3 linked regions of the Tribolium castaneum genome follow. The protein of the gene in region 2 interacts with the protein of the main gene of each other region in a biochemical or structural test. Links are inferred from orthologs where the notes say so. Each region holds a gene or a part of one and is shown on either strand. Other genes may lie near its edges. The genes, in order: ago, Jra and peptidyl-prolyl cis-trans isomerase NIMA-interacting 1.

Region 1 (4,412 bases), on a different chromosome or scaffold from region 2:
GTATTTTCTCACCGTTGGTTTCGGGCGCCGTCGGCGCACGAGCAGAGGGCTCAGATGACATCGAAGTAACGTCAGATTTCTTTTCTGGTAGCAACTTCTTGCACGGAAACCCATTCTGCACGTCCAACTTCCGTTTTCTCTAAAAAAACCGAACAAAACACATTACAACTGCTAACAAAACAGCACAAAATATTCGTTTCAAAAAATATCAGAGAGAAGATTAGGCTAAAATCATATGTCGATCAACGTATTATGTTATCGACTCAACACTTACAAGTTTCATCATTAAAAAAAAAGAAGTACGACTGTTTTATTTTTGTTAAGCTCTTTACATTTGCGATTAATACATAAACACCATTAAGGTGAAAATAATGTAACATCTTAAACCGGAAAAACTAGCGTTAAAAAGCAAAATTAACCTGATAAGTTTTTTATGACATGCAGTTAATTATTACTACACTGTATTCTAATGCATGTGATTATGTGGAAATTGCTTTATTATCATAGATATTTGAGTAACATTGTTTACTAAACACAGAATTAGAGGTTGTCAAAGGTAACAAACATTTTTTCAACAATTTAAAAAAAAATCTACAGGCATAATAAATAACTATGAAAATTGTTAGTTTGTATTATACAACGATAATTTCAAAAAGGATCAAAATTATTACCTTTTATGTCTATCTTTAATTTACGTTATCGCCCAACTCGTGTTTACCAATACAAAAACAACAAGTAAACTAAATAGTTAAAAACAGCAAAGTCCCAAACAGGTTAAAGACCTTCATTGACCATGGGAATGTTTAAAAAACGAGCAATAACTTTAATGCACTACTACGTAAACGTGACTTATTCGCGTATTACTTATCGATTTTTCCCCAATGCCCCTTAATTATTCGTTTTGTTATTTTATCTAAAAGTTATATAAAGATTAAATACATAATTAAAACTGTGACGATTGTTTTTAAACTCGTATTATACATAGATAAGGTAAGCGTTCATTAAAACCAAATTCCTTTAAATTACATTTTCGACCAAATAGTCAAGACCAACTCGTATTTTTTAATTATTTTCTTTTTAAATTGTCAAAACAACAACCAAAAATGGTCACAACTTTACTTATGAGAGTAATATTATTTATTATTAGTCACATTTTGTTAAAAAAAATTAAACAAAAACTAGTATTGAGAAATTATTTAATACAACAGGTATTGCAAAGATTAAGTACCACCTGAGCAGTGGCGTAATAAAATGTGTCACTGATTTGTTTACAAAAAATTGCAGATAATTACACTAGTTTACCACGATTTTTACCAATGTCAGTAGAATAATTACCACTAAATCTGATGCTGAAGTCGAAAACAAATTAAGTTTAAATACTCATTATAAAGTATCAGTATTTGACAATTTTCGCAACATCTAAAATGTTACAGATTGCTTCTTCTCTTGTACTATCAGGGTGTTTATCTCAATGTGGACTAGTAGAAAACGAATAACATATTTTTATCCCAAAAACCTTAATAACTCTCTTCATAAGATTTGATGAAAATATTTACCATTTGATCGTTTAAGTCTCCCAGATTTTATAGACAATTTTACCACAAACAAAACAAAAGTTGTTTGGACTTAATCTACATTCACTTGAAGATATTTTAAAATAATTACAAGGTTTAACAATAGTTGATCACAGAAACAATGAATGCCACCAGAAACAAATTTTTAAAACTTTTAGTGAATATATTAAGAAAACTACACGTGTTAGACAAATGTGACATATATTTTAGTTATCAGTGAATAAGAAAAAAGCAAAATTAATATAAATTATCTCTGCCTGTAATTTTTTGTTTGCCTTGTGCTAACCATTTGCAGAAAATGCATTATCCAGTGATGGAAACAGTCAATGGGTTTATTTTTAAAATAATATTATTGCACATTCGCTTGAAACAACAAACATAATTTCTGCTTACCCAGTATCTGTCAGTGGCGTACGACCCACTTCTCTTCGCGTACGAACTCCTTGGTGTTGTTTGATGAGGACCTGGAGGTGAACCTGAAAAAACTTCACTGCTATCTTCGTCCTGTAAAAATAATTTAGTAAAAAGTTAACACACTGTATGGAGTTACCTCTTCTAGCTCTTGATTTTCTTCAGAGAGGTCTCCTTCAGTACAATCCTCCCAGTTTTCTTCCTTCTCAAAACTGTCTTCTTCATCACATTCTTCCAGACCTAGCTTATTGAGAAAGCTAGTTTTTTCAGTCTCCTCGCCCGATTGACTAATTCTAAATATCTCATCTAGTTTTTCACTCAATGGAGCTAAGTGATTCTGGGATGTACCTGGTGCATTATCAGTGGTACACAACGACTCTAGACAAACGGTTTCAGTAGGGCTAGGGCTGGTGCAGTCTTGTTTTGGAAGTTCTGAATCTCGATTAATACTAGATAAGGGGTTGAAATTACTTCTGCCTGAAGGACATGATTCTGCCATTATCTACAGTCTAGAAAAAACAAAAAACGTCTTAAGTAAAGTTTTGCGATAAAATTATCTCCGCGAGTGAAACACGTTATCCTACTTAATTACAAGATGAGTGCAATGGGGGAAAAATGGTTAGAATAATTGCATCTGACATACCTACTGATGTAATTTTCTATCATTATTCGAAGGCATGAAACGAAACTACTCTAACTACCAGATAATTGCAAGAGAAGAAGGAAAATTAACGAAATGCTTCCAAAAACTATGCATCAAGGACCACTGTTTGCTACTTCCTATCACTCCGAGACACTAAAGCGAGTTTTCTTGTGCATCTCGCTGGGTAAAATACCTTTTCAAAAAACTACACTGACGGCCATTCTCAAAATACTAGGATTTATTGGCACCATTACAAATATCTGGACGAACTTGTGTAAATGAAGAATAAGAAATATCAGCAAAATCGCGTGGCTAAGGCGCCGCCCCGTTTCACAAACACCCTGACTCCACAAACCATTCGCCCAAAAAAACATCCAGGACCCCAAACTTTTGGAAAACACTCACCAATTGCAGGAAAATCCGTTTTGTGTTTTTCCCCAACACCATTGCATTGTATTTCGAGAATTTACGCTACGATTTCGTGACTTTAGTTACAGGAGTAGCAAGGTGACAAGCTGGGGGAATTTAACGGCGCACATGTGATTTTAGTGGCTTTTTTGCACCAAAACTTAACCTCGAACTCTTTTTTGAATTTGTGTTAAAATGATTGAAAACGAATTAAATACGGTGGTTTATCCACCGAATAAATCGCTGCAACGGAAAGTCGAACTTTCGACAACACCGGTCGTTTACAAACACTTACTTTTCCTAGAATTTAATGAAAAAGGTAAGGTGGGTTTTTTTCAATTTTGGCGATTAATTGTCTTTTAGACGAGTCAGTTCTGGGGTGTTCGAACTTAAACGGGACTCTTTGGGAAGGCACTTTGCTATTTTTCTCAAATGAGGAGAATTTGTTGCTTCTGAAACACAACAGAAGCTTGATTGGGTCCACGGTTTCAGACGGGAAATTTTTAAACGACAGTACTGTAAGTTTCAGCTAAATGTGTACACACAACAAATAATATGAAAATAGTTTGCGTTAGCTGAAGATACGGGTCTTTTAAATATTCTCACAATATCACGTGAAAACCAAACCATACAATCGGCAGGTTATTATAGGGAAATAGATCGCATTCCGAAAATCGCAGTTTGGAAGAACAGCACACGGATACTCACCTGCTCGAATAAAGCGGTGACCATTTGGGACATTAATAGCACTATCCGTAAACCACTAAATCACTTTCCGTAAGTTTTATCAACAATTTTCCCTTATCTAAGTTTTATTTCCAGCGATTATCACACGGAACTTGTAAACTATGTTGATACACTTAAGTCGGAACCAAACGTCTTTGTCACAGCTTCAATGGACCGGAAGTGCTGTATTTGGGACGACCGTAATCCGTGCCCTGCCTCAGGTAATTATTTTTTCGTCCAGTGAGGCGAAAAAATCATGTATATTTCACGGGAGCAAAGTGAAGATGTAAACATTATTTTCAAGTATACAAGTGTCCAAAGTTAGCTACAATAGGAAATTGTTTTTTTTTGTAATGGATGTAGCTTTTAATACTGATGTTTTTGAGCTAAATTTTTATCGAAAAATATTTATTTTTCAGTTTTGTACAACAACGAGTTTTGCTCTCTAACCAGCGTTGCATGCAACCAACACAACACGAATTACGTTGTTGTGGGCACAGAAGGCGGCGACATTTACCTTCTGGATAAACGCGAACCGAAAGACTTTATTTCAGTTGCTAGTTGCAACTGCTACATCTACAGACTGGCTTTTGATGATTACAATAAACTGGCAGTGTGTGGCGACAATAACAAAGTTCTAGTATTTAAAT
Region 2 (3,133 bases):
TTAGATTATATGATCACGAAATGTTCGGTTTGAGTTCAATATGAAGACTGAATGCAGCTTCAAATAGGGCCTGCGCGAAACCTTGATTCTAACGGAAAGATTCATAAAGTGCGATCTGCGTTTAAGAAAAATATAACGGATTGTTTTTTCAATTTTTATTGATTGATAGTAAATGAACTGAAGTGAAGAAGGGTTACCATTTCCGTAATTACAAAAAAAAAAGTTGGCGTATACGTGTTACTGATTTGCTATGATGTGGCTCGATTAACTCCTACATAGTTTTTTTTTTCCGAAAAAAAAAATGTTTCGTTCGTGTTGCAAAGTCTGCAAAGTTGTGTCTACCCTTTAATTTATTATCCTAATTAGTATTACGAAACCGTTTGATACAATTGGATAATTCACCATATCCGTCCAAATTTGTTGCAATTGATGAAATAACACGTTGAATAACACCATCCATTTTTCCGCTTTGCGAAGGCGAGACAGGAAGTGGCAAATATTCCCTGTGGAATTATTATTTGCAAATCAATTTTATTTGGGTTTTTTAACCTATGAACCGTTGATGTATACCAAGGACGGACCAAGGAGCTCCTTGATGCATACACTCGGGGACGTATTTTGATCGAAAAAGTAATTTAAATGAATTATCCTATTAAGGTCAAGGGAACTGTGTTTACCCTAGGCAAACTAGCTCATACGCTACAAATAAAGCAGGTTAGGAATTTTTTCGTCATTTTGAAGAAATAGACAACTATTGTTGATCTCTTTATTACAATTTCTGTTATTTTAGTGCCAATGCTTCTTATCATACATTTTCTAAATAAAGGTTTTTTCCTCGCATGATAATTAAAAATAGTTATCTATTTGGTTATTACCATAATTTGTTTTTATTTTGTAGTACTTATCGCATTTAAAGTCGGACAGAATATAAAATATTTACACTTTTTTCTTTGTTTCCAAAGTTTTTTTGTAAATTAAATCACAATTTTTGAATGAAAATCGGCTAAAACTTTAGTCGTTAATATCACTGTCTTTTCATTTCTTAAATCGTATTTTTTGGATGGGGTAAGATGGGGTTCAAAGATCATGTTGGCAACCCGTAAAACACTGCGGTCAGTTTCCTGTAGAATTGTCTAGGTGTCGCTTTAGCGAATCATTTCGACATGACGTCATTCTCATTTCTGAAAATCCATGAAAGGGATGACTCATTCATATCGAAAGTTATTACGTCGTATTTGTTAGTATTCTGTAGTATTTCGAGAACAATACTACACAAGAAGTTAAAAGTTATATTCAAGAAATTTTCAAGCCAGTGTTGTGCTACATTGTGAGTCATTACAAATAAAAGCGCTTTGCTTTTGAATGTGGTGTTAAAGTAAGTGTTATAATATTAAAGATTCATTATTTACTTTTTTACCAAGTAATGCTTGAGGGACACCTCACAGACCTTCACTTTGTTTTCTTCTTCGAGAATCTTCATTTCTCGATATTCTTTTGTTTGCTATTGACGTAACTTAACCTAAAATTTCCATTTCAGATTTTATGGAAATTAGTGATTCCGTTTATTATTCACTGTTGGCTTTGGTCGTCGTGCCTGTTTACCTATTTTTCAATCTTTGGTCGTGGTTAGGTTGGGAATTGTACAAAAATAATTGATAAAAAAAATGAGCGGACCCAACTTTGAAAGTCAGCAAAAAAACCTCAGTAACATGAAGAAAAATCTCACTCTTGATCTTAATCAGTCGAAAATGAACATGAACCTATCGTTATCCCCCGACATCACGTCCGTCCTCAAAGTAGATACCCCTGACCTCCTCAAAGTGGACACACCCACCATTGAGAACATCATCTTGGCGAATAATATTTCACACACGCCTTCCCCTTCACTTATCTTCCCGCGGGACGTCACTGTGGAGCAAGAGAAGTTTGCAGGCGGTTTCGTCGAAGCGCTTAATTATCTTCACAATGGCAATTCTCAGCAAGGTTCTGACAGTAATGCCAGTACGGTTTACAGCGAACAGCAGAATTTCATGCCTGTGATCAAAGAGGAGCCCCAAACGGTGCCCAACGTGAATAATACGCCCCCAATGTCTCCTGTCGATATGGAATATCAGGAAAGAATGAAATTGGAGCGAAAGAGACAAAGGAATAGACTCGCAGCCTCTAAATGTCGTTCCCGCAAATTGGAACGAATCTCGAAATTGGAGGATAAAGTCAAACTGTTGAAAAGTGAGAATGTTGAATTGGCTTCAGTGGTCAACCAGTTGAAGGAACACGTGGGGATGCTCAAATTGGAAGTGATGGAACATGTGAATGCTGGCTGTCCCATCATTGCGGGACAGTTTTAAGGATAGAGTACGATTTATATTTTTTTATAAAAATTATACACCAGAGTGATTTTTTTATATTTTGGTGCTGAGATATTCATAGTTGTAGCTTTAATACTGTGACCATATTTTGTATGGAGCCATTTGAATTGTATTATTTACGGTAGATTTAGCGCGATTTGTTTTATTTTATGTAGTTTATCACATTTTTATTAATAAAAATTGTCTCAGTAACAAGTAGTGAATTCATTAAAAAAAATTGGTTAGAATAAAAACAATGGAAAATGGGTAAAGTCTTTAATTAACAATAAATAAAATTCTTTTGTCAAAAGCGACAACATAATTATTCGTGAAACTATATCATCATATCATAATACTGTAAGCGGTCATATTTCTTTGGAAATTAATAATTCTTCTACCCCCATGCGACCCCGATGTCTCCAGACTCTATAACGAGCTAAATCTTTCCTTGTTACCATTCCTATAACCTCATTTGTGTCATTAACAATCGGCAAATGTCGTAAACCGAGAGCTCGGAATAATCTAAACATTCGAGGTAGTGATGCCGACTGAAAAAAAAAAATGATTAAATGCTAATTACTTGTTTTTTTAATTACATGAAGCACCGTATATGGTGACGGATTCATAAACGGCCTCAGATCAATAGAATAAGTTTTTTCAACTTCGGAAACACTCACTTGCTAAAGAATTAAACTTAATTACTTAAAAAGGAAAGGGCGAGAGAAATACCACTACCTCTATTGTTGGATATCGGGGATACTCATCTCGAAAGATTCCCGCATTAA
Region 3 (2,859 bases), on a different chromosome or scaffold from region 2:
TTTATGTCAGAACGAGGAGTTTTAGCGATTTCTCTAATTTTAGTACAAAAATTTCGTAGTATATGATTTCGGCATTCAATTTTTTTAATAAAATAATTAGGCCCGTATGGTCTTGCATTACGAATTTTTTTGTAGACGCTACTATCACCATCTCCTATGAGGTTTTTAAATCTTACGTTATGCATGTCTACTGATTTTTTAAATCCATCCAAAATAATTGCTGCTTCCATTGAAGTTGAAGTGTTTTTCCAATTTTTAAAACATTTATGAGGGGGCGTCGTTTGGTTTTTTTTCTTATAATACATACATTTTTTACAATTTTTATTTTTAACTCCCACGTATAAAATTTTTTTAGTCCTTGCACCGACTATTGTTGCAACACCAGAAGATGCGTTATATTTTAAAGAAATACACAAAATTTATATAATGTAAGAGTAACGCAGCTATATCTTCGCAAGCTAGTTATAGAAAAATTGTATAAATTTAATAAAAAAACGAGAAATAATTCCTAAATTCTAAAATAATACATAATTATAAAAGTATCATTTATTTTACAAGGCGTAACGTAAACAAATTATATCCCTAAGACTGGATCTTACAATCTCTCGATACGTTATTTGTACTATAATTATTACTGGGTATAGTTAGAATAAATTTTTACAACAATGTATTTTTCAGAATTTATTACCTGGATAAAATTATCAGACGAAAAAGCGGGTTTAATGAAGTTTTCATCATTTTAATGAGATATTCCTAGTAACTTTTTTAAAGTTAAACTGTTTTCTGAAAGAACAATAATGTTTCACCAATTAATTTTTTTATTTTATATTTTTTCAATGCAAGTGATCCAATTAGAAATGCACATGACACATAATATAGCGAACAGAATTCGGTTAATTAAAACATAAAACCCAATAAATAAATGGTGTAATGGTGTATTATTTTTTACAAAACTATGCTAGTATTTTATTATTCTTTAGTATCAAATTTTTTTAACAAAATAAAAAACGTCTTTTTTACTGTATGTTGCTTGAATCTCTGAAATAAGAGAAACTATCGTGGGCGATAGTGGAATTCAGTTTGTTTACATTATTTGCATTTTATGAGAAGGGACAAGACACCCCGAGGCGAAGGTCGGATGCCTATCCGATGATTGACAGCTGTCACTGAAAACAGGTCTAAAAAAGTATGCAACTTGTAGTACACCAATTCTCAACAATCGCTTCGGTACCCTGAAGCCTTAAGAGAAGTTTGTGTTTTTCAGTTTTTCTCAATATTGAACGTCTTTAGTGTTGGCAACCAACCATACAATCGCTTATTTTGTTGGTGTGAAAGTGGTTTGTGTCCGGGTATTTCCGGAAACTGAAGGAGCTAACTCGTGTAGCTGTCTTCACAGAAATAAAGCCTCGAGTGAAGTTAGCCGATAAATAAACACGCATTCTAGGAAAATGGCGGACGAACAGTTGCCTACTGGGTGGGAAAAGCGGTTAAGTCGGTCAACCGGTAATTCGGTTAAGTTTTAATCATTCTCCCTTGACTCAAAACGTGTATTTTAGGCCAACACTACTACCTGAACGTTTACACCAAAGAGTCCCAATGGGACGTTCCCGACAAACCGGCAGAACCTGTGTCTTCGAGCGGCCCCGAACAAGTCCAGTGCTCACATTTACTCGTCAAACACAAAGACTCGCGAAGACCGTCCTCTTGGCGAGAGGAGAACATCACAAGGACTAAAGACGAAGCCTTGGAATTAGTCAAATGTGAGTGTTTTTGGCCAAGAAATGTCACCACTTTTGAACGTTTTTTCAGCGTATCGCGAACAAATCGTCCAGGGCAAGGCCTCGTTTGCTGACTTAGCCTCAAAGTACTCGGATTGCTCGTCTGCTAAACGAGGGGGCGACCTTGGCTCGTTCAAACGGGGGGCCATGCAGAAGCCCTTTGAGGAGGCGTCGTTTGCGCTCAAGGTTGGGGAGTTGTCAGAACCTGTCTTTACCGATTCGGGGGTGCATATTATTCTGCGTACTGTTTAGATTTGTACTCTTTCTAGACCATTTTTACATTTATTATAAGTTCATTCATGTTCTTTCAGGTCTTGTTAACGTAATTTATGATGCATCTATGCCAAACAAATTCATATTTATATATATTGCGATGAGATTGGAGCTGTAAATTTAGTGTAAATTTCTTTTATATTGTACTTTTTACTTATTAATGAGGTAACTTATTCCTGATACTTTTGTTATTTTGTTTATGCACAATAAAGAGCCCTAAGCACTCCTGTTAGCCCGGATTTTATTCCAGAATCAAAAGTAAAACATTTGCTAAGATGCAAGCATAATACAAGTGAGGATGAGAAGATTTAAATCAATAATAGGTAATAACTATCTTTTATTTTCAAAGTGCCTTTCGCGTAGTTACAATAGTTCGAAACTACTAATACACACAGATTTTTTTACACAAAAAGTATTGTTGCAACGTTTTGCTTGTACACCATTAAATTTTATTGAGATTACTTCAAACCAGGATGTAGTCTTTCAGACGAACCGATCGGTATCGTAAATATCTTTTGGTCACCGTTGTCGAAACATCTTATTTTGAGGATTGTTTATCATAAACAGCATTAACTGCTGTAAAACGTTATGGTGTAACTACAAAGAAAACGATGCTTCAATAATAATCAATACAGGGTCTTCCACGTAATTTTACAAGGCCTGCGCCTGTAAAATGCAATCAACAATACATATTCCAATACGAACTCGATTACAAATTTTGAAAGATTGGATCTCTAGCTTGTTCATCCCTTCAAAAAATTGCAACACTTTTAATTAGTCGGTGATTAAGTTAGGTGGATTAGAATCA

The links.
Region 1: the proteins of Jra (region 2) and ago form a complex in vitro, tested with the Homo sapiens proteins (3 studies listed by BioGRID, with this or other methods). The link is inferred for Tribolium castaneum from reciprocal best matches to the Homo sapiens genes JUN and FBXW7.
Region 3: the proteins of Jra (region 2) and peptidyl-prolyl cis-trans isomerase NIMA-interacting 1 form a complex in vitro, tested with the Homo sapiens proteins (2 studies listed by BioGRID). The link is inferred for Tribolium castaneum from reciprocal best matches to the Homo sapiens genes JUN and PIN1.

Annotation. Positions count from the first base shown.
Region 1 is NC_087394.1:36,180,010-36,184,421, forward strand, and holds the start of ago (archipelago), read right to left. Parts: upstream 2,890-4,412; 5' UTR 2,629-2,889; intron 2,495-2,628; 5' UTR 2,485-2,494; coding exon 2,125-2,484; intron 2,079-2,124; coding exon 1,968-2,078; intron 140-1,967; coding exon 13-139; intron 1-12. Other genes in the region: uncharacterized protein LOC655874, read left to right, coding at 3,232-3,355, 3,400-3,554, 3,602-3,813, 3,859-3,983, 4,182-4,412. UniProt on the Homo sapiens protein: Substrate recognition component of a SCF (SKP1-CUL1-F-box protein) E3 ubiquitin-protein ligase complex which mediates the ubiquitination and subsequent proteasomal degradation of target proteins.
Region 2 is NC_087399.1:146,058-149,190, reverse strand, and holds Jra (Jun-related antigen), read left to right. Parts: upstream 1-1,231; 5' UTR 1,232-1,375; intron 1,376-1,423; coding exon of another isoform or gene 1,424-1,496; intron 1,497-1,537; coding exon of another isoform or gene 1,538-1,656; 5' UTR 1,657-1,664; coding exon 1,665-2,348; 3' UTR 2,349-2,564; downstream 2,565-3,133. Other genes in the region: phosphatidylinositol N-acetylglucosaminyltransferase subunit Y-like, read left to right, coding at 1,424-1,496, 1,538-1,656; ClC-b (H(+)/Cl(-) exchange transporter 7), read right to left, coding at 2,714-2,896, 2,945-3,028, 3,084-3,133. UniProt on the Homo sapiens protein: Transcription factor that recognizes and binds to the AP-1 consensus motif 5'-TGA[GC]TCA-3'.
Region 3 is NC_087394.1:12,589,636-12,592,494, reverse strand, and holds peptidyl-prolyl cis-trans isomerase NIMA-interacting 1, read left to right. Parts: upstream 1-1,345; 5' UTR 1,346-1,448; coding exon 1,449-1,503; intron 1,504-1,556; coding exon 1,557-1,760; intron 1,761-1,809; coding exon 1,810-2,030; 3' UTR 2,031-2,283; downstream 2,284-2,859. UniProt on the Homo sapiens protein: Peptidyl-prolyl cis/trans isomerase (PPIase) that binds to and isomerizes specific phosphorylated Ser/Thr-Pro (pSer/Thr-Pro) motifs.